Linked DNA regions of Kluyveromyces lactis. The protein of the gene in region 2 interacts with the protein of the main gene of each other region in a biochemical or structural test. Links are inferred from orthologs where the notes say so. Each region holds a gene or a part of one and is shown on either strand. Other genes may lie near its edges. The genes, in order: TIM9, YME1 and TIM10.

The links.
Region 1: the proteins of YME1 (region 2) and TIM9 form a complex in vitro, tested with the Saccharomyces cerevisiae proteins (2 studies listed by BioGRID, with this or other methods). The link is inferred for Kluyveromyces lactis from reciprocal best matches to the Saccharomyces cerevisiae genes YME1 and TIM9.
Region 3: of the proteins of YME1 (region 2) and TIM10, one has a biochemical effect on the other in vitro, tested with the Saccharomyces cerevisiae proteins (2 studies listed by BioGRID, with this or other methods). The link is inferred for Kluyveromyces lactis from reciprocal best matches to the Saccharomyces cerevisiae genes YME1 and TIM10.

Annotation. Positions count from the first base shown.
Region 1 is NC_006041.1:2,032,991-2,039,574, reverse strand, and holds TIM9 (protein transporter TIM9), read right to left. Parts: upstream 3,459-6,584; coding exon 3,195-3,458; downstream 1-3,194. Other genes in the region: FUR1 (uracil phosphoribosyltransferase), read right to left, coding at 1-292; Sm-like protein LSM7, read right to left, coding at 832-1,152, 1,283-1,294; ALF1 (Alf1p), read left to right, coding at 1,496-2,248; URA3 (orotidine-5'-phosphate decarboxylase), read right to left, coding at 3,777-4,580; KLLA0_E22749g (uncharacterized protein), read left to right, coding at 5,188-6,498. UniProt on the Saccharomyces cerevisiae protein: Mitochondrial intermembrane chaperone that participates in the import and insertion of multi-pass transmembrane proteins into the mitochondrial inner membrane.
Region 2 is NC_006041.1:606,044-614,862, reverse strand, and holds YME1 (i-AAA protease YME1), read left to right. Parts: upstream 1-5,366; coding exon 5,367-7,676; downstream 7,677-8,819. Other genes in the region: KLLA0_E06755g (sugar porter family MFS transporter), read left to right, coding at 1-1,922; condensin subunit BRN1, read left to right, coding at 2,621-4,939; TFIIH complex kinase subunit CCL1, read right to left, coding at 8,101-8,819. UniProt on the Saccharomyces cerevisiae protein: Catalytic subunit of the mitochondrial inner membrane i-AAA protease supercomplex required for mitochondrial inner membrane protein turnover. The protease is probably ATP-dependent. Important to maintain the integrity of the mitochondrial compartment.
Region 3 is NC_006042.1:2,400,711-2,407,313, reverse strand, and holds TIM10 (protein transporter TIM10), read right to left. Parts: upstream 2,866-6,603; coding exon 2,596-2,865; downstream 1-2,595. Other genes in the region: GPA1 (guanine nucleotide-binding protein subunit alpha), read right to left, coding at 1-717; cytochrome c1 heme lyase CYT2, read left to right, coding at 1,483-2,298; SDD2 (Sdd2p), read right to left, coding at 3,297-3,698; RCO1 (Rco1p), read left to right, coding at 3,980-5,851; sister chromatid cohesion factor PDS5, read right to left, coding at 6,020-6,603. UniProt on the Saccharomyces cerevisiae protein: Mitochondrial intermembrane chaperone that participates in the import and insertion of multi-pass transmembrane proteins into the mitochondrial inner membrane.

The DNA.
Region 1 (6,584 bases), about 1.4 Mb from region 2:
AGTCTCTCAAACCTTGTTCCATGGATTCACCTGCTCTTACAATAGAAACACCGCAAATCTTACCTAGGAAGGAACAACCTTCGAATTTCTGGTTTGTGTCAGTGGTAATAGTCTTTGGAGTTACTGGCAAATGGTTCAAACCTTCTTCGACCAACAACCTGATGATTCTATCAGAGTAAAATATGAAATCAGATCTCTTAGTAAGGCTATCTCTGATGATAGTGTACAAGCCAAGCAACTGCTTCGATTGTGCCAATAGATGGACATTAGGAAATGGTTGTGTAGAACTCATATTATTTTCTTTTAGCAGCAGATAAACCTAAGTGAAGTTCGCTTTGATGCGCTAATTGATTGGTCTTCAGTAAAGAGTAAGAATACTACAGAAAATATTATTCAAACAGATTTGCAGCAACAAGCGAAAAGAGAATTTGAAACGTTAAAAGAACAACTCTCACAAGAGATATATACTCACATATATATAAATGAACACCTGGACGCAGTCGGTTTAAAGAATTCAAGATATCTCTCTAATCAGTCGATGCGATGAGATACGGTTTTTTGGTCGAAATTTAACCAAAAAGCTTTGCTGATGTTAGAAAAAAGATTCAATAAGTCACGTGAACGCACATTTGTGCAGATTAGGTCTTGATAAGTGAGATGTAGCCGGTTAGGAAAGTATCTCCGTTGGAGATACTTATTTCATTAGATACAGGTAGAAATGTGGATATGGGCTCATAGTGTGAGTTTGATATAGCACTGAACGTTATATAGCACTATTAATGAACATATATGGTACACTGTTGCTTGAAATTTTTTTTTTTTGGGTCTTAACTAGGTATTGATGATCTCAGCACCTTCGAGGGAACATAGCGAAAGTAGAGCTGTTCCTCTTATGACGACCAAACCAATTTTTTTGGCTTGGTCCTTGTGGATGATGGTTTCATCTTCTGGGTCTCTTGCATATTCGACGGTTTCGTCAAGAACCAAGTTCATTAGCTCGTCATAACCCTTTAGGATTCCAGTGACCAGTCTTCCCCCTATGAACTTGACACGTACTTCTGTGTCCTTATATTGTGCAAGATTTATGATAGACTCACGCTTTGGGCCTTCGAACTTCTTCTTCTGCTCTTGTCTCGGTTGTTGTGATTGCCTCTGCAGAGAAGGGGAATGTATAAACTCTCTAACTGTTAGTAAATTTGAACTTAAAATGTAGAATGGATCATTGTTTTGAGAAAGTTGAAGAAGTTTTAGAAAGCCGTCCTAATTATAGTAGTTAACATACTGCTTCGCTCATTATTAGTAGTTGGTTGGGTGGGGTAGCGCTGTTTGCTCAATGGGTTATTGTCAAAGTGTGTTACTGGTTTCAAATTAACTTTTCATTTAAGTTTACGGAACATTGAAAAATTCGATGTTCAAACATGCCTGGACAAAACGACAAACATTGAACTTACAGCATCGAAGACAAAATAAAACAGAGGATATATCAGCACCGATAATGTCATCTGACGTGGAAATTATATCCGATTTGGTTAACACTCAGATCTTTGTGAAACCTGGTACATCATGGGACCATCTGGGCCAAAGATTGAACGAATTGACCGGTGTTGATGTTCAAGACATGAAATTGGTGATAAATGGCAATGCACAGAACAGCAAGTATTTGAAAGATCTCAAAGACCAGAAAGTAGAGAAAATCCAGTCCATAAAAGTGATAGACACCAACGAAAACAGTTTAGCAAGCCAATTGAAAAATGATTTGCTACATGCTAATAGCGATGACGTTTCGTTCCGATACACCATGGACGATTATGAGAACAGAAGGGATTCTGTATTACAATGGAAAAAAGATAACAAGTTAGGGAAATTTAATCCTGAATACCGCTCTAAGATGGAAGAACAACTACAACTGAATATCGATAAGGCAGAACTATTACAAAAACACGTTGGAGAAAGATGCAGAGTACTGTCCAACGAGGAAACAACGACCGATTCCACCAAGGTCCCCGAAAGAAGAGGATGGTTACGATACGTGGGAAAAGTTCAAGAGATCAGTAATACAGATGTATGGTGTGGAATTGAATTTGACGAACCTGACGGTAAGAACAATGGTACATTCCAAGGAACGAAGTATTTCGGACCAGTAAAAAAGAATTACGGCGGGTTTGTGAGACCTGCCGTTGTTGAAGTAGGTCCTCAATTCACGCCATTAGCTGACGATGAATTGATGCTCACAGATGATGAGTTATAGGGAGTTGATAATTTACATAAGTTTAATTATATTCTCGTCCTTGGCCTCGTGGATGATACTCTGAACTACGGAAATGACACCTGACACACACGTGACAGGGTCTACTACTGAATGAATTCGTAATTGGTTTGAGTCGGGTGTTGTGCCGTAGCTGGTAAAAAGGCCACGTTGCGACTTCGGTTCGAATCTTCCTCAGAACACAAAGTCTCTGTTCATATGAACCTGGTTACAAAAAGATCAAATATGGCAATTCATTTCCTGTTCTCAACTTCATACTAAGCCCTTGAAGCGCTTCAAAGAATATTCACTCTTAAGTATAAGGTGGATGCTCGTTACTTTGAAGTGTTTTGAGAAGAGGTCATGTGATTTGAATGTTCTACTTGATCAGAGGAGTTGTTCTCCTCATTCCAGGTGGGAAATTCGGTGGAACGCAGCTGTCCGCTCGCCGAGGGTTCAAACCCCCGGTGAGTTATAATCAAGCAAATCCCTAACGGGATTTTCGCTTCGTGAGAAGGTTGTTTCTAATGGAACTTCAGCTTGAGCCCTATTGTCGTTGTTATAATAAATCAAGTCGCCAGTTCTTCTCTAATGGAGACCACGTGACATGGGAGGGACAACGGACGGACAGTTTAGCTTGTCATTTACGACAATGCCTAGTTGAGTGCAATGCAGGGAGTCTGCAACTTACGCAGATAACACAATACCGATTACCTTGTGTCTGAGGAGCATCTTTTTTTGGCCAGTCATATGGCAATGAAATGCAAACCTTTCTATATACAGAAACAGAATGAATATACATGGGAGAGATAGTCCTTAAAATCTATGGTAATCGTAGTAGCTACGATAAAATGTTATGATATAATGTTATAATATAATGTTATAATATAATGAAGTATGTACAGAATAAAATTTGAGGTTGGTAGGGAGAATTTCTTCTTTAAACCTTTTAACGACCCATGGTTTGATTCATGGCAGCATTTTGCTCTTGGAAACGTTGACCCACACGTTCACTGTGTTTCAAGAACTTTTCTGAACATCTCATTATACAGTTTTGTTCCTTAGAAGTAAGCTTAGCGGATGTGAAGTCGTTGACACAGTCGCTGAAACATCTTTCGACCAAGTTGGAGTATAGACGCATGAAATCCTTCATTTGCTTTTGTTCCACGATTTTTTGGAACTCTTGTTGTTCCTTACCATTAAGTTGATCCATTGTGTGCTTGCTTCTTTTCTTATCCGGGGTATATGATAATTAATCTTACCAATTGGATGACAAACAGTCTGGAGGAAGTTTGAGAGGGCTTATCGCAATGGTTGTAATGGTTTAAAACTCTTTTTCGATGATGTAGTTTCTGGTTTTTAAATCTCACATAATGAAAGAGAGAGAGAGAAGCAAACAAAAAATTTTCAGTTCAATACAACAGATCACGTGATCTTTTTGTAAGATGAAGTTGAAGTAGTGTTGCACCGTGCCAATGCAGGTGGCTATTAGATTAAATATGTGATTTGTTCTATTAAGTTTCCTGTATAATTAATGGGGAGCGCTGATTCTCTTTTGGTACGCTTCCCATCCAGCATTTCTGTATCTTTCACCTTCAACCTTAGGATCTCTACCCTTGGCGAAAAGTCCTCTGCCAACAATGATGATATCTGATCCACCACTTACAACTTCGTCGACGGTTCTGTACTGCTGACCCAATGCATCGCCTTTGTCGTCTAAACCTACACCTGGGGTCATGATTAGCCAATCAAACCCTTCTTCTCTTCCTCCCATATCGTTCTGAGCAATGAACCCAATAACGAAATCTTTATCACTCTTTGCAATATCAACGGTACCCTTAGTATATTCACCGTGTGCTAGAGAACCCTTGGAAGACAATTCAGCAAGCATCAATAATCCCCTTGGTTCTTTGGTGACCTCTTGCGCACCTTGTTTCAAGCCAGCAACAATACCAGCACCAGTAACCCCGTGGGCGTTGGTGATATCAGACCATTCTGCGATACGGTAAACGCCCGATGTATATTGTAATTTGACTGTGTTACCGATATCGGCGAATTTTCTGTCCTCAAATATCAAGAACTTGTATTTCTCTGCCAATGCTTTCAATGGAACGACAGTACCCTCATAACTGAAATCATCCAAGATATCAACGTGTGTTTTCAAAAGGCAAATGTATGGACCCAACGTTTCAACAAGTTTCAATAGCTCATCAGTCGAACGAACGTCAAGAGAAGCACACAAATTGGTCTTCTTTTCATCCATTAAACGTAAAAGTTTCGATGCAACCGGACTTGCATGAGTCTCAGCTCTACTGGTATATGATTTTGTGGACATGGTGCAACTAATTGACGGGAGTGTATTGACGCTGGCGTACTGGCTTTCACAAAATGGCCCAATCACAACCACATCTTAGATAGTTGAAATGACTTTAGATAACATCAATTGAGATGAGCTTAATCATGTCAAAGCTAAAAGTGTCACCATGAACGACAATTCTTAAGCAAATCACGTGATATAGATCCACGAATAACCACCATTTGATGCTCGAGGCAAGTAATGTGTGTAAAAAAATGCGTTACCACCATCCAATGCAGACCGATCTTCTACCCAGAATCACATATATTTATGTACCGAGTACCTTTTTTCTATCTTCCAATTGCTTCTCCCATATGATTGTCTCCGTAAGCTCGAAATTTCTAAGTTGGATTTTAATCTTCACGCAGGATGACAGTTCGATGAGCTTCTGAGGAGTGTTTAGAACATAATCATTTATCCATGGTCTATCTCTTCTTGTCGCTTTTTCTCCTCGATAGAACCTAAATAAAACGATCCCATTTAGCATCCAACACTACTTTTTGCTTTGATATAGTGTCCAGTTTCACATATTGACTATACCCTATCGGAGTTTTGTTCAAGTGATCATTAAGGGGAAGAGACAGTGATGTCTTCTGATGCCAACAAGAGATTGGAAGATGTTTCAGATAAAGCAAATGTCAATTCATTATCAAACCAAACCTCTTCTCTTGTGGGTGCTGCTACTGCTGGTGGAAGATCTATGGTGTATCAACTAACATCTTTTTACATGAGGACTCCGTTAAAATTGTTCAGACCAGCTAGATTTGACTATACTCATTACATTCGAGTACTTCTTACAGGTAGCGATAATACACAGTCCGAGACAAAAGTACGAAGTTCGAGGTATCGGTTTTGGAATCCAAAGTATACTTATTATTTGGAGAACTCTTCAATCGGAATCGTCACTAAAGCATTGAACAGATATGGTTGGAAAGTCATACCTGACAGAATTTTACCGCCATTAGTAGCCAATTCGCTGGCGGGAGTTGTGCTATACACTACTTATTTAGCCACTTTGAATAATTTTCCGTTGAGGGCTACAGATCAAGCTTTTCAACATAATATGTTTGATTTTTTAAGAGCAGGATTCCTTGCAGGTGCTGCACAAGCCATTGTCTCAGCTCCAATAGATGCCATTTATACAAGAGCAAACATTGATGAACTTTTATCCAGCGCAAAAAAATATGATAATCTATGGCTTTATAGTCGTGATAAGATCAGAGAGATTGGTTTGATTGGCTGCTTTGGTGGGTTTGGATTATCATTCATAAGAGAATCCTTTGGCTTTGCATTGTATTTCACTACTTTTGAAATGATCAGAGGACCAATTCGCCAATTGATGTTAGATTTTATCAAGAATTATAGGGAACTAAAATATACGGTGCAGAACACAAGACTCTCGGATATATTTTTCGATGAAGATGGTAATAAGATTGAAACGAAGAAACCAAGGTTAATTTCTCCTAAAGAGGAAATGTGGTATTCAAGAGTTTTCATTTTTATTGGAGGTGTTACAGCAGCTTTTGTTCTTCAATCGGTGCAATTCCCGTTCCTAAAGCTACAGAAAATCCACGTCTCTAGACTTGAAGCGTACGATATTTATCTCAAAAATCTACCATCAACGTCTAGTACAACTATAGGAAATATTCCAAATACGAAAATAAGGATACCCAAAGGCAGTAGTAGGTTTCACATCTATTACAACTCATACTTGGATACATTCGAGCATGTGTTCTTTTTCATGAAGAGAAGTAAGAGAGAAACCATTGCTTGGTTATATAAAGGTTTTACTAGGAATACTTTGGCAATTATTCCTGGAACTACTGCCGGTCTTCTTTTGCTTGATTATATGAGGTCGCAACTGCGTTCTCCTGAGGAGTATAAACGACTGCAATGAAAAAAATTTATAAATGAAATCTGTAAATATTTATTAGTAGACAAGACAGTTTAATTAACATTCTAATGCATCTGTTCAATTATGGA
Region 2 (8,819 bases):
CAGAAGTGACCAGCTTTCATGAGGCAAAGAGGAAATCTGCCGGTGGTGGTGTTTTCGTTGCGATGAACGATGACAGTTCCATTTCTAGTATTGGTGAAGATCCAGAAGGAAGGGATCCGAATAGTGTGCAAGAAGAAAATATATTGGCTGAATATTCAGAAGAGCAGGTTATGAACATGGGACGTGCTTTTGCTAAGAAGTACGAGTTGCCAAATGATGATGATATTTTCGCTCGTGGTGCTGCTTTGGCCAGAAAACCAAACGAATACGACAGGTTAAATGTTCTAAAGGAAGATGAACGTATTGCTTGTTACGATGAAATTCATCATCCTTGGAGAGTCCCTCCAAAGTTGATTGCTATTATCGCTGCCAGTGCAATGGGTGCTGCCGTGCAAGGTATGGATGAAACTGTTATCAATGGTGCTAACTTGTTCTACCCTAAAGAATTGGGTTTAGGGTCAGGATCCAAGAGGGACGATTGGTTGGAAGGTCTTGTTAACGGTGCACCTTATCTATGTTGTGCTGGTGTCTCGTGTTGGGCTACCGATTGGTTGAACAATATGTTTGGTCGTAAAAAGGTTATTTTCATCACTTGTGCTATCTCTGCTATCACCTGTTTCTTACAAGCTTTCGGTCCAGCTGGTACTCCAGGGTGGCACTATTTGTTTGCCATGAGATTTTTGTTGGGTTTTGGTATCGGTCCTAAGAGTGCTACGACTTCCGTTTACTTGGCTGAATGTTCTACCAAAAAGTTACGTGGTATCATCTGTATGAACTGGCAAACTTTCACTGCTTTCGGTATCATGTGGGGTTACGTTTTCTCTTTGATCTTTTACAGAGTTGGAAGAGCTGGTATTGCCGGTGGGTTGAATTGGAGATTAATGTTAGCCAGTGCTATGATTCCTGCTATTTTAGTTTTAGTGCAAATCCCATTCTGTCCTGAATCTCCCCGTTGGTTAATGGGTAAAGGTCGTTACAAGGAAGCTTATGAATCCACCCTCCAGATTAGAAATCACAAGATCCTAGCTTGTCGTGATCTTTTCTATCAACACGTTTTGTTGATGGAAGAAAACTCTTTGGAAATGTCTTACTGGACTAGATTAAGGGAAATCTTCACTGTTAGAAGAAACAGAAACGCCTTGATTTGTGCCTTCATTTGTGCCTTCATGCAGCAATTCTGTGCAATTAATGTTATTGCGTACTATTCCTCTGCCATTTTCTTGCAATCAGGTTTCACTGAAATTTCTTCATTGTGTGCTTCCCTAGGCTTCGGTTTAATTAACTTCTTCTTTGCTATTCCTGCCTTCTTCATGATCGACAGATTTGGAAGAAGATTCCTTCTATTAAACACGTTCCCATGGTTGGCAGTATTCCTTTTGATTACAGGGTTTTCTTTCTGGATCGATGATACAGAAAAAAGAATCGGTGTTGTTTCGATGGGTATTTACGTATTCTCTGCCATTTACTCTTTCGGTTGTGGTGTGGTTCCATTCGTTATCGCTGGTGAAGTTTTCCCCTTGTACGTCCGTGCCATTGGTGCATCTCTTTTCACCATTGTCTTGTGGGGTTTCAACTTCATTCTATCTTTAACTTGGCCAAGTATGCTACGTGCCTTCGAGCCTCAAGGTGCCTTCGGTTTCTATGCTGCTTGGAACGTCATCGGTTGGTTCTTAGTCTACTTCTTCATGCCTGAAACAAAGCAATTGACTTTGGAAGAATTGGATGAAGTGTTTGATGTACCATTAAGGGTTAGAGCCAAGTATCAACTATTGGAATTGTGGCCTAACATTCAAGAAAACCTCCTAAGAAGAAAGAATGTTAAGAGACAACCACCACTCGATAAACACCACAGAATGGCCATCAAGGCTGCCGAATGGAACGAAAAGGCTGAGGCTGAAGAATTGGAAGTTACCGAGATCTAAAATCAACTCAACACTTAATATTTTTATGTCAGTAGAAATATTTTTTGGTAGAAATTAACCTCCTTTGCATGATAAAGCTAGCTCAAACTATCATCATGTCATCGCTTTTCACACTAATTGATAACTTATCAAGTAATAATATTGCGAATTAAAGAGAATTTGAACAGAATGCCTGGTGTATTTAAATTCACTCTAATTCCCCTTTGTCTTCCTCTGTTTAATAGCTTAACTGTTGAACTTTCAATTAAGTAGATATTTATCTAGCTAGTTAGTAATGTTTTAATGTGATATTTTAAATGTAAGAAACAAATTTTAAAGTTCTAGCTAATATCTTGACATGTTGAAATAAAAGTGAAGAAGTCATGTAGACCAGGAAGTGATTGCAAACATTAATGACTATACTTACCAAAAATCGAATCAGATGCATTAGATGTGATCATGGGAAACGCTTGAGATGCTCCTAAAGTGTTCAAACCAAGGCTTTATGCAGCTGCTTCTCACGTGGAAACTTAGTCACTAATCACGATTTGATGTTTACGTTTATTTGATGTTTTGTAAACATTGAAGGATCGGGACGCAGTATTCAGATCCATTTAAAGCTGTTCAGGAAAACAGAGGCAAGTCAGGAAACGGGATAATTGTGAGCATTATTCAGCTGCTTTATCAAAGCTACCTTGGTTAGGTTTTCAGGAGTAGCAATGACTACCCAATTACCGTATGACGATGATGACAACGGTCTTTTCACGAATAAGTCCACTATGATGGCTAACTTTGAAGAATGGATCAAAATGGCCACGGACAACAAAATCAACTCAAGAAACAGTTGGAATTTCGCATTAATTGACTATTTTCATGACTTGAACGTGTTGAAAGATGAGGAGGATAATATTAATTTCCAGAAGGCTTCGGCGACGTTAGACGGTTGTGTGAAAATCTACTCTCATAGAGTCGATTCCGTCGCTACTGAAACAGGGAAGTTACTAAGTGGATTGGCAGAACGGAAAGGGAGGCAAATTAGATCCAATACAAACGGAGAGAACGATGATGGAGATGAGGAAGATGATGACAGTCTAGAGGTAGATCCTTTAACTGGTCTGCCGATTGCCCGTGATGACCCAGAGACTCTCGCGAAAAAAAAAAGGACGTACAATAGAGTGTTAGAAACGACGTTAGTTGATTTTGAAAGTATACGACTGAAAGATTTAGCACAAAACCTAAGTATAGATCCGTTGTTCAAGAAGGCACTCGCCGATTTTGATGAGGGTGGTGCGAAGAGCTTACTTATAAACACGTTACATGTTGATGAAAAACTCCGAGTTGTTTTTGACGCAACAACGACTGAACCTGAACAAGAACAACCGCAACCATTGGCCTCTACTGAAAGTCAAGTTCAGGAAGAAAATAATGAAGTCAGCGAATCAGCAAAAGAGACCTCGGAGGTATTTGGCTTGGATTCAGAAAAGGGTTCAGCAAATGAGGAAAATGTAGAATCAACCCCAGATACATCAGTCACATTGCTAGAGGATGATATATTAGATCTCGGTGTCAAATTCTTAGATTTTAATACTATTGAAACCTCAATATTGTGTCCATCGATGGATCAGCTCCAAAGTGCAGTAGCGGATATTGGAAAAGCAAAGTCATTTGTTGAAGGAGTGAATGGCCAATCTGATAAATTCTTGACAGAAAAAGATCTAGAGACCCTTCCTGAACTCGATGCGGAGGCAGAGTTCAACTACGAAATGCCACCAGAGGATGGTGAGGATGTTGCTGTTGATGCAGGTTCTATGGACTACGTTGAGCCAGCGGATAACATTCACGAACCAGAAGAACAGCTGGCCCTATCAAATCAACAGAATATGTCACAAATAGATGACAAATCGTATGGCGATGCGAGCGTACTCGATCAAGAGTTACTATCTTACTTTGACGCAGCGATAGGTCAGAATTGGAGGGGTAGAGAACACTGGAAGGTACGAAACATCAAGGATAAACTTAGCAAGGAGTCTGTGGCCAAACCACAGCAGCCAACTGAAGCCGATGGGAATCATGAACCAGCAGTTGAAAAGAAGGTACCCAAAAAACAGTTTGAGATTGATTTCTTGGATCTGAATGATAACATTGAAGAAGAAATATTTGCAAATAAAAAGGGGTTCATTGATCTATCAGTGAAACAAAGAACAAATGATTCACATTTCTTACTACCGGACGACTATAAATTCACAACGGATAAAATCACAAGGCTCTTCATTAAGCCCGAGCAGAAGATGAGTTTCTTTTCACACAGGAGGATCAGTAAAGCCAGGTTACCTGGGTCCCTGAAATTTGATGATACCGAAATCAAAGAAGTGAGTAATATTCCGGAGATTGCAGACGAACGCTTTTGGGCTGAAAACTATCAACTGCATGAAAGGGAAGAAGAGCACAAGCAAGATGACACACAGATAGAAAGATCAACCAATCCATCGTTTGAAGAGGATAACGGCATTGACTTCAACCAAGCCTTCGAAGATGAAGATTTGGATATGGATACAAAAGAAGATTTCGTAAACACGCAAGGATTAGTTGCAAATAATAAAATGACCTACTCCAGAACCTCCAAAAAGGTAGATGTGAGAAAATTGAAGAATAATGTGTGGAAGTCAATATGGCAACGTTTACATGTACTGAAGACAGACGAACAAAATGGGGAAACTACTCGGAATGAGGAAACTACTCAGAATGATATCGAATCAGAAGCACATCTGACCGAAGAGAAGCAGGGAAAGCAGGATATATCAGCAGAAATATCAACAAAAGCAGAGGGCTATGACTTGAAATTCACCGATATCGCTCACGATATCGTGAACATGTACACTTCAAGTGCCAAAAAGGATCTCTCAACCAGTTTCTGCTTTATCTGCCTTCTTCACCTCGCTAATGAGTATGGATTTACGATTAACGACACTACAAACTACCAAGACTTGGACATTCGGTTCCCTGAAAAGATTGCAGACGCAATTATTGGCAAGGAGTAGCCGAACTATAGCCGACGTAATTATTTTGTTTGTATATAGAAGAGTATTGATCACGTGATGTTCGTCTAAAAAGACCTCGTTCCTTTTTATTTTTCTGGCACTTTCGAATCGGATTTCAGCTGTTACGTAGAGTTTCTCCCTAATGAAATGCAACGCCACCCGGACGAGCGTTCATCAGCTTCCAAGAATTTGTTGATAATGTTGAAATTTGAGTAAATTGAGCATTTGTCAAATTTAAAGGTTTTTATTTTCTTTAGAATGAGGATATATATGGCTATGATTATTCGGGTCATTTAGAAGGCAACGAAAGAGGCAAAAGGCTTTTAAGAATAGTGAACAAAGGAAGCAACGAAAAAGTTGTATATACCAGCTCAGGTACTTTGAAAAAATCACTTTTACGGTGTACTTATTAAGTGTTAAAGGCTAGATGACGCTTCCGGTGTTGATTGGTGTTTCTGGTTTGTGCGCCAAGAACGCTTCTCGAGTGTTGATTCGTCAAGCCCCTGTCTTGACAGGGCCAATTTTAAGGACTTTGCATAGAAAGCATTTTCTTACAGGCAGCGTGCTACAAAACAGATTATATTCGGACAAGAACCAAACAGGCAAGGATCATAATGGTGTTACAGGTTCTCAGCATTCGGAGGACTCGAAGAACACTGTAAATGGGGCAACAAGTGGTGCAGAAAATGTTCAGCAGCCCAAGCAACTAAACGGGATTAATTCGAGTGATATTGATCCGGCAAATGGACCTGTATCACACGCTGTTTTGGCTACTAAGGAACAGCAAGCTAATAAAGATTTGTCTAACCCAAGTGCGCAAGCGGAGTTCTATAAACTTCTCTTGAAATCGAACTATCCGCAATACGTTGTTTCGAGATTTGAAACTCCTGGTATTACTTCATCGCCTGAATGTATGGCTTTGTATATGGAAGCTTTACAAAGGATCGGTAGGCACGCTGATGCTGAGTCTGTGAGGCAGACTTTGTTGACGACTGCTCCAGCTGGAAGTATTCCTCCTGCCGTGGCTTCATCTGGTGCTTCTTCCGCTGCATCGGCTAACGGTGCTGCTGCCCAAGTTACTGGAGGTGTTTCATCTGGTTATTCTGGCATCTATAATCCGTACATGGGATCCAAAAAGGAACCTCTACATGTTGTTGTCACTGAATCCACATTCTCTATTGTTTCCAGATGGTTAAAATGGTTGATCGTATTTGGTGCAGTTACATACGGTTTGACTGAAGGTTTCAAATACATTACAGAACATTCAACCCTCTTCAAGACAAATGAAGTCGCCGATAAATCTGTGGATGTTGCAAAGACTAATGTAAGATTTGATGACGTGCGGGGTTGTGACGAAGCTAGAGCTGAATTGGAGGAAATTGTCGATTTCTTAAAAGATCCTACCAAATACGAATCCTTGGGTGGTAAGTTACCTAAAGGTGTTCTATTGACCGGACCTCCAGGTACTGGTAAGACTTTATTGGCAAGAGCCACCGCCGGTGAAGCTGGTGTTGACTTTTTCTTCATGTCAGGGTCAGAGTTTGACGAAGTTTATGTAGGTGTTGGTGCCAAGCGTATCAGAGAGTTGTTTGCACAGGCCCGCGCTCGTGCCCCTGCTATTATCTTTATCGATGAATTGGATGCTATTGGAGGTAAGCGTAATCCCAAAGATCAAGCTTACGCAAAACAAACTTTGAATCAATTGTTGGTTGAATTGGATGGGTTTTCCCAAACAAGCGGTATAATTATCATCGGTGCCACTAACTTCCCAGAATCATTGGATAAGGCTTTGACAAGACCAGGTAGATTCGATAAGGTCGTCAATGTTGACTTACCTGATGTTCGCGGGCGTGCTGACATTTTGAGACATCATATGAAGAAGGTTACTGTTGCTCCTGATGTGGACCCAACTATCATTGCAAGAGGAACCCCAGGTCTTTCTGGTGCTGAGTTGATGAATTTAGTTAACCAAGCCGCCGTATACGCTTGTCAGAAAAATGCTATTGCTGTCGATATGCAGCACTTTGAATGGGCAAAGGATAAAATCTTGATGGGTGCTGAAAGGAAAACTATGGTTCTCACTGAAGCTACTAAAAGAGCCACCGCTTATCATGAAGCCGGGCATGCATTGATGGCACTGTACACTGCCGGGGCAACGCCATTATACAAAGCAACTATCTTGCCAAGAGGCAGGGCATTAGGTATCACTTTCCAACTTCCTGAAATGGATAAGGTGGACATCACTAAGAAAGAATGTCTAGCTAGGTTAGATGTGTGCATGGGTGGTAAGATTGCAGAAGAACTGATTTATGGTAAGGAAAATACTACCAGTGGTTGTGGTTCGGATTTACAAAATGCTACCAACACTGCTAGAGCAATGGTTACTCAGTACGGTATGAGTGAACAAGTCGGACCAGTAAATTTGGCTGATAAGTGGGACTCATGGTCTGGAAAAATTCGTGACGTTGCTGATAACGAAGTACTTGAACTTTTGAAAGCTTCAGAAGATAGGACGAGAGCCTTATTAGCAGAAAGGGAAAAGGAATTGCATAGATTAGCTCAAGGATTAATGGAATACGAAACATTAGATAGTACCGAAATTCAGAAGGTATGCAAAGGAGAACCTATCAATAAAATGAAAATGGCCACTACTACGGTGGTTGAAGGACCAGACAGCGATGATCGTAAGGAAATCGGCGGTGATAAATCAAAAATTCCGGTACTGATTAAAGCATGATCAGACGCAGAACTAAAACGTCATTGGATACGGACTCCTAGCATTACACCATTGATTGAACATTTCACCGACCATCTTTCTGTATCTGCATTTGACCTGTTTGAAGAACCCCACTACAATGGTTATGTTGCAACTTGTACAGAATACCCAAATTGAGTGGTTAATTTTAAAAGTGTTATATGAAATTACAGATCATAGCATTTTCACATAATAAAGCATAAAAGCATTGACGTGTCTTGTAAATATAACATTGGCCGGCCTTCTTGAAGAAGCGGCAGTCACTACTTTACCCCTGTCGAAAGACTATAAATGAAGATAATAGTTCTCTTCGCAAGTATATATGCATATTTGTATAACAATTATTCGTATGAATGAATGAACTTTAGGAAGTTTTCATTGAGAACTCTACTTAACTTGTATACTACTACACTTTCAACTTTTTAGAATCCGGTTCCGTTGTAAGCTCAGCGGAGCTATCACGTTGTTGCTTTTGTCTGCGCATCCTATCTACCAGCAGCATTGGATTTTGGCAGTAATGCAATTTTGCGTCAATTTTAGTTGCCTCTTCTTTGGAAAGTGTTTCAACGTTCAAAATCATCGCCTGACACTCTCGTATTAGCGCTGTTAAAGTTTGCAATTTTAAATTAGATGGTAATTTGGTATCTGATGGTGTTTCTTCCGTTTTCAAGCCTTCCGTTTCCGAGTCCTTTTGCTCCTCAGGAGGGCTCCCAAACTTCACTTCCAAGTATTTTAGCGTTAACGCTTCATCATCTATCAACAAGCATGCAAGTGTAATTTGCGGTGGGGTGTAATGATATACTACATCTGTGAGAAGAGTTTCGGTTATTCTTCTCTTGCAATTTGTGTAGATCTGGCCCATATAATTTAAATCGACTTTTCCATGTAAAATGTACTGGATATCCAAGAAAAACCCATGCAACGGCCTGTATGGATGGTGATTTAACAAAGTAAACTGTAACGATTCTAGCACATCGAACTCGTACTTAAGAATAGTTGTGGGTTGAGACTTAGTTTTTTTGGCAAAGGCTTCAATACCTATAAAATAGTTCTCTGATTTGCATGCCAAAAATATGCTGGCTAAAAGAATATGTTTCGGATGTATTTCCATAGTTGAATTTACAA
Region 3 (6,603 bases), on a different chromosome or scaffold from region 2:
TTCACTTGACCTATTGAAACATTGTCTGATCCCCTTGTCCTGCGTCCAAAGCTTTTTGATTGCATAGGCAATTTCTTCGTTGGTACTTTGGTCTATACGTTTCAACTCTGAAGTCTCCGAGGAACCAGTATAACTTGTCCCGGCTAATTTTTCACTCAAGAAAGCGTCTGTCTCATCCTCTTCTTCAGGATCAGCACCATTTGATTCCTTGAATCCAAGCGTGGTTTGCCTCTTCTTCTTAGATCCTATGCCATTATATTTCAACACATACTCGTTTAGGAACTCTGAACCACCCGCCATTCTGGCATCAATCTGGTCCAATGTGTTAGCACGGAAGATCTTCTCTTTGCATTGGTGTAATTCCGTATTCACCAATTGCCCCGAATGTGCATTTTTCAAATCACTATCCAATTCGATGCCCAACTTGCCTGCTTGTAAGATTAGCGTTCTCATCGACTCAATTGCATCTGCCCAGATGACTTGTCCATATTGCATTCGTTCTCTATGGGTAAATCCGCCTTGGTGTAGGAGTTTCATTTGTTTCAACACTGTTGATTTACCGCTTTCTCCTGCTCCTAATAGAAGGAGCTTCACCTCATTCTTATTCTTATTCCTTTCCTGCTGTAAATTTTGCTCAATGAGATCATTTGCCCTTTTATTTTGAATGAAGGGATCATCCTCGTTCTCATAGTTTCCTGTACTTGCGACGCAACCCATAATGCTTAATTTCTTGCCGGCCAGCGTCAGTTTCTTTCATTTGTTTCATTTTCCTTTATAGTTCACGTTTTCGCCGTAGTTGGCACGATGTGGCCAATCCGTCTATATATATGTTAATATTAAAAGGTAACGTAGCAATATTTACTTTACATTCCTGATTTAGCATTGCATAGCCTTTATCATAGGAACCTCAAAACATGATGAAGCTTTGAGTCAAGAACCTCAACTCAGATACCCTAGAAATCTCACAGAGACGACAACTAAAATCAAGCTCAATTGGAAAATAAAACAAGCAAGTAAAAAACAAACAAGCACTTGACACTGTTTAAGGGTTTGCTTCCTTTTAAAAAACATTCCTAGCAACGTCCCTGTTTCAGATTTAGGTTGAAGTCGCTCTGCAGGTAATTACTGCACCACAATATGTTAACGGTGGCTGCAAGATCGATTGCTATGTACAACGGAGAGCTGTCTCCATCTGGAGGTCAAGTCACGTGAGAAACAAGGATGTTTGTCGCACATTCGGGTAATGAAATGTCATCTCCCGTGGATATCAATTTCATTCTGAAACTTCATCAATTTGATATCAATTGAAAAGAAATGAATGAAATGGAAAAGTATGCAGAACATGCGAATACAGGAAAGCTTATTCATGCGCATTTCATCAGGATAGGCTTGAACGCAATAGTTCGAAATATAGAAGCAACATCGTTGGCGGCTTAAAGGGGATTCGCGACTGTTTAGAAGCTAACTGTGGAGTGCAAAAGAATGCCAGAACAGCCTAAGTGTCCTGTGGATGACTCCACGAAGGAAGTGTGGTTGAAACAACAGAGCACTAATAATAAGAATGAATCAGCAAAAGCACTACCTCCAAATCATCCACCGGCTAGTTCTGAAGGGTCAGGAGTTTGTCCGGTAGACCATTCTTCCCAGGATGTATGGCTGAAAAACCATCTACAGACCGTTAATGGCTCTGCTGGCGGTGCTGCAGTTGCAGCAGCACCAGCACCAATCATATCGATCATCACTGAGGATGTCGAATGTTCAAGTGATGAGATACCTGAACACCCGAAATATACCACAGCTGTTAATTTGCCAACAGAGAGAGAGAAATCCTCCATTCCTAGAACCGGAACATCGGATAATTGGGTTTATCCATCAGAGAAGCAATTCTTCGAGGCAATGAAGAGAAAAAATTGGGATCCCGAAGCTGTGGATATGAAAGCCGTTGTTCCCATCCACAATTCCGTTAATGAAAGAGTATGGAATTATATCAAAATTTGGGAAGACGGACAAGGGGGAGATGTCTGTGGTGGCATCAAATTGACTAGTTTCAAAGGCGATTCAAAGAAGTTAACCCCAAGAGCATGGTTTAGATCCTCAATCCTTGGAATGACCAAACCTTTTGATAGGCACGATTGGGTCGTCGATCGCTGCGGGAAACAAATAGATTATGTCATCGACTTCTATTCGAATCCAGAACCTGAAAAGAACCACCTTCCTCCAATATATTTGGACGTTAGACCAAAAGTGAATACTTTTGAAGGTTGTAAATTACGCGTTATGAAAATGCTAGGATTTTAAAGACAGAAGGGATCGTCCAAATTTTCAATCCTAAGGGAAGATAATGGACAAAAACACATCACGGTATTAGCAAATACATTTATATCTCTATATTTATCGGTTTGATCGAGATACACAAACCTAATCGTTTGGTACTCCGACATTACCTCATTTTTAAAACTCTGTAAATAGATAATTAATATATATATATAATATATTTGTATATACAAAATTTGTCATATATGTACATGATAAAACGTGAAAAGTTGCGAAAAAGATTATGCACTAACGTCCCGGCTTAAGCTTCCCTCATCGGGTTTAGAATTTACCTGGAGAGAAAGCTTGGCCTAGCTGTTGCATGTTTTCACCAACCTTAACGTTAGTTTCAAAGTACTTGGCAACACATCTGTCGATACAAGTAGATTCGTTCTTGTTTAGTTGACCATCGTTATAAATTTGTTCAATACATTTCTTGTGACAGTTGTCGACCAACTTGTTGAACATGTCAGTAACCAAATCTAGTTCAGCTTCAGCTGCTGATAGCTTTTGTTGAGAAGATAATTGAGGTTGACCGCCTAGACCGAACATTTCTTAGAAGATGATTTTTATATGTTGTTATTGTAGGAGTGGTATTCCTGTGGCTATGAATAGAAGACTAATCACTACGATAAACTACGTCAATAAATATTTACAGATCAAACAACAGTCTAGTTGTCAACGCATTTAACTGCTATTAGTTAAATTTTAGTGAACTGCAATTCCTGACGAATAGTTGCTATACTGAAAATTTTCAGAAATATGAGGAAATATACGTTACCCGGTCACATGCACGTGATTTGGACATGTATTGATTTGACAGAGGGAGCATTGACCTATAGTAGTCATTGAACCTTTGGAACTACCGATTCTTGCAATTATTTGGTACTTATGAGGATTGAGTTCTCATTCGTTGTAATTATATATGCATGTATATCTTACTTTCTTTCTCTGTTAAAACCTGATATATTGAAGACAGATAACTAGTCAAAGAAATCATCGTCTTCATCGTCATCTTGATCCACACTAGATGATGCTGTTCCTTTTTCTCTTCTATCGAATATAATACGTGTAGTATTGCGCTTTTGCTCATCTCTTCCGACTGATTCGAGGATTCCAACGATGTCCTGCTCTGTTAATTTGTTTCTAATAGCACCGGACCGCACCATTTGTAGTAAATAAGCTTCTACTGCCTTTACACGTTCTGGCCGCACCAACGCTACCCTGCTCAATCTTTCTTGTGCATTGGAATCCAAAATCTGATTCAATATCGCTTGTGTTTGACCATCATTCGATCCGTTGTTTGCTGATTCTGATGTTCCTCCACTTTGTTGCTTCAATTCCCTCAATCTGGCCTCTCTAATGGCTCTCAATTCGTCGTCCATGGTTGCTTCTATTATTTTAATGTGACTGGTGACGCCTCAGCCTGTTCCCGTAACTATATACATTTTGATTCCATTATCATTGATATAGCTGGTATGTGTATACGACTTCAACTATCGAAGGTTCGTGATATTGGAATACAGAAAAAAAATAAAAAAGTGCGATACAAATTTAATTGAACGCATCTAACAATTGAATTAAATTATGGTTCAACGCGAAACAACGAGTAGGGGAAAGTACCGGCTAAAAAAATTACGTGCCAGTACATCTACTTTCCGGCTTCATGACAAAAAATATGGAGGTAACGAGGCCCAAACGGTCAGGTACTGCCAATGTGGATTATAATCTGAAAAAGAGACGGATTATTCCAAGTGATGATTATCCAACGAAAAGTACATCCTCAATATCTTCATCACCGTCCCAAGAACCATCGACAGAACCTATTGGACCAGTCATTCTTAAGGATAGTAATGGAAATATAACGTTTCAGGAGCCGCCAGTGCATGATCCAATAAATGCTATGACAGGGACGCCATTATCTCAGAAGCCGAAGGGATCGAGTAACAACAACAGTAACAATAATAATAGTACCAATAACATCAATAATAACGACAATGATGATAGCAATAATAGAAGTGGTAAACACAGAAATGGTAACAATAAGAAGAAGAAATCCAATATATTACAGGCATTAAAGAGCAGCATGGAGGCTAAATATGAGGGACAACTACAAACTGAAAAATCAAATGAATTGACCGTACAAAGTCATGAACGCATAGGAGCGAACACTCCCACTAAACACAACAAAAATTCAGGAATTAAACAAGAGGCTGACTCGGATTTTATGCTACAGGATCCTATACGAAATTCGCCCAGTAAATCGATAGCACTAAAAATGGCGAAAAGGTTGAAATCTACCAAGGATAAAGATACCAAGTTATTTGGACAAAATGATAAAGCTTCTCATTTACATATTCCAGAAATTGATCCGGATAATAACAAGGAAAATGACGATTTTTGTTCCAACTGTCATGGTCCTGGGGTGTTCTTATGCTGTGACACTTGTCCAAAATCTTTCCATTTTGCTTGCTGTAACCCACCTTTGGATCCAAGCCATCTACCAGAAGGTGATTGGTCTTGTGATGAATGCCGATTCAAGCAATGGATCAAGTCTAATAAATACGGACTGTCCTCTGAAAAAAAGTTGAAAACAAGGTTTTTACAAGACCATTTCAAGCAACCCGGGTATCAGTTATTCGGTACTCTAACATTTGATCTTCAAAGGAAAAATCCGTTCCAATTTCAATTGCCGTCTATTATCAAATCAACGTTCGATTCGGTCTCCTCGGGGTCGCAAGGAGAATATCGTGACGAACACTTTAAAGAAAATATCAATGAAAAACAAATTTTTCATTCCGCGTACGGGCAGTCTGTCACACGGATGGATTCTTATCAGCCAGAGTATCATTTCAACCAGGATTCTGGAGAACTTTTAGTGTGCTATAATTGTGGAGAATCAAAGATGGGAACATGGGACCATCCGGACTCCCAACGACTGATAATGACTTGCGATTACTGTTCAACACCATGGCACTTAGATTGTCTTCCACTGCCTAGAGCATCCTTGAAAAACCTGGGATCGAAGTGGAAATGCCCGTTGCATGCCCCATTACCAAAATCATACAAAAGACGTTTAGCAAGGGGAAAACAGAAATATATAGTACTTCCAATAGGAAGTAGAAACAACGGAGATACAGAAATAGCAATAGATGCGGACTCCTGGACTTTATCAAAACTTACAGAACAGAATGTCGCACTAGAGTTTTTAGATAAGGTTTATCAGGCGAAACGTGTACAGCAGTTTGAAGACTTGTGTCAGCATTCTACGATTTTAGACAAATTAGTTGCAGCAGAAAATCAAACCCCGATATTGAATGATATATCCAACCTCTTATACTTCCAAACGTCCGGTACCCTCAAAAGATTATGGGACTTTAAGGAACTCTGTAAAATATCGGAACAACAATTGCTGAAGGAAAAGGCAAAAATTCAACCCATAGATGAGTCCGAGTTAACGATTCTTCAAAAGTTGAAAACGCTTTTAGAGTCGAAACCGAAAAAAGAAGTTCTTGAATTTTTCAAACTTACTCAATAGTTAAAGGTTCACGCATGCCCGTATTCAATGGAGCTGTTTGTTATTTTATGTTTCATCTTCATCGGCGAGTTGAAGACTTATATATAGAAACAACTACATATGATAAAAAACATTTCCTTAGATAAATTATGACAGATATATAGCTAGGTAATGATGGAATTTCGTAACTTACATTACCTCTTCGTTCTCATCATCTTCATTATAATCGACGGCAGTTTTAGTACGGGTGCTTTTCCTTTGGGGACCTCTATTACTTTTCAGTGGGCTGGGGTAAATACTTCTATCATGTGCACCATCTGAGTCATCGCCGCTGTCACTGCTATAATGTCTTCTTTTCTTTGAAGGGGTGCGCTGTTTATACTCACTTGTCAACTTTCTCTGCTGTTTTTGCTGCTTAGTTGTCGTCGATGACCCATGCACCATTTTACTACATTTTAGCTTTATCTTTTGCTCAAGAACTTGAGTGTAATCATCTTTGATGAATGTTTTGAATGTATTTGCCTGTGCTAATTCCATGTTCTCGAAGGGTACGTAAAGATCACTCGGTAGGTTGAGTTTACCAGGGTACACGGTGAGATTCAAATTTTTTATTTGTTTCAATTCATTCAAAATCATCTGAACCAATTCACTTATCACGTAAATGCATGTTGGAGCCTCATCTAACAAGTCTTTGTACTGTTTTATACGACCGGCTAGGTAATACAATAAGCTGATACTTTCGGGCTTTAAAACAGTATCTAAAAAGAAAAGAA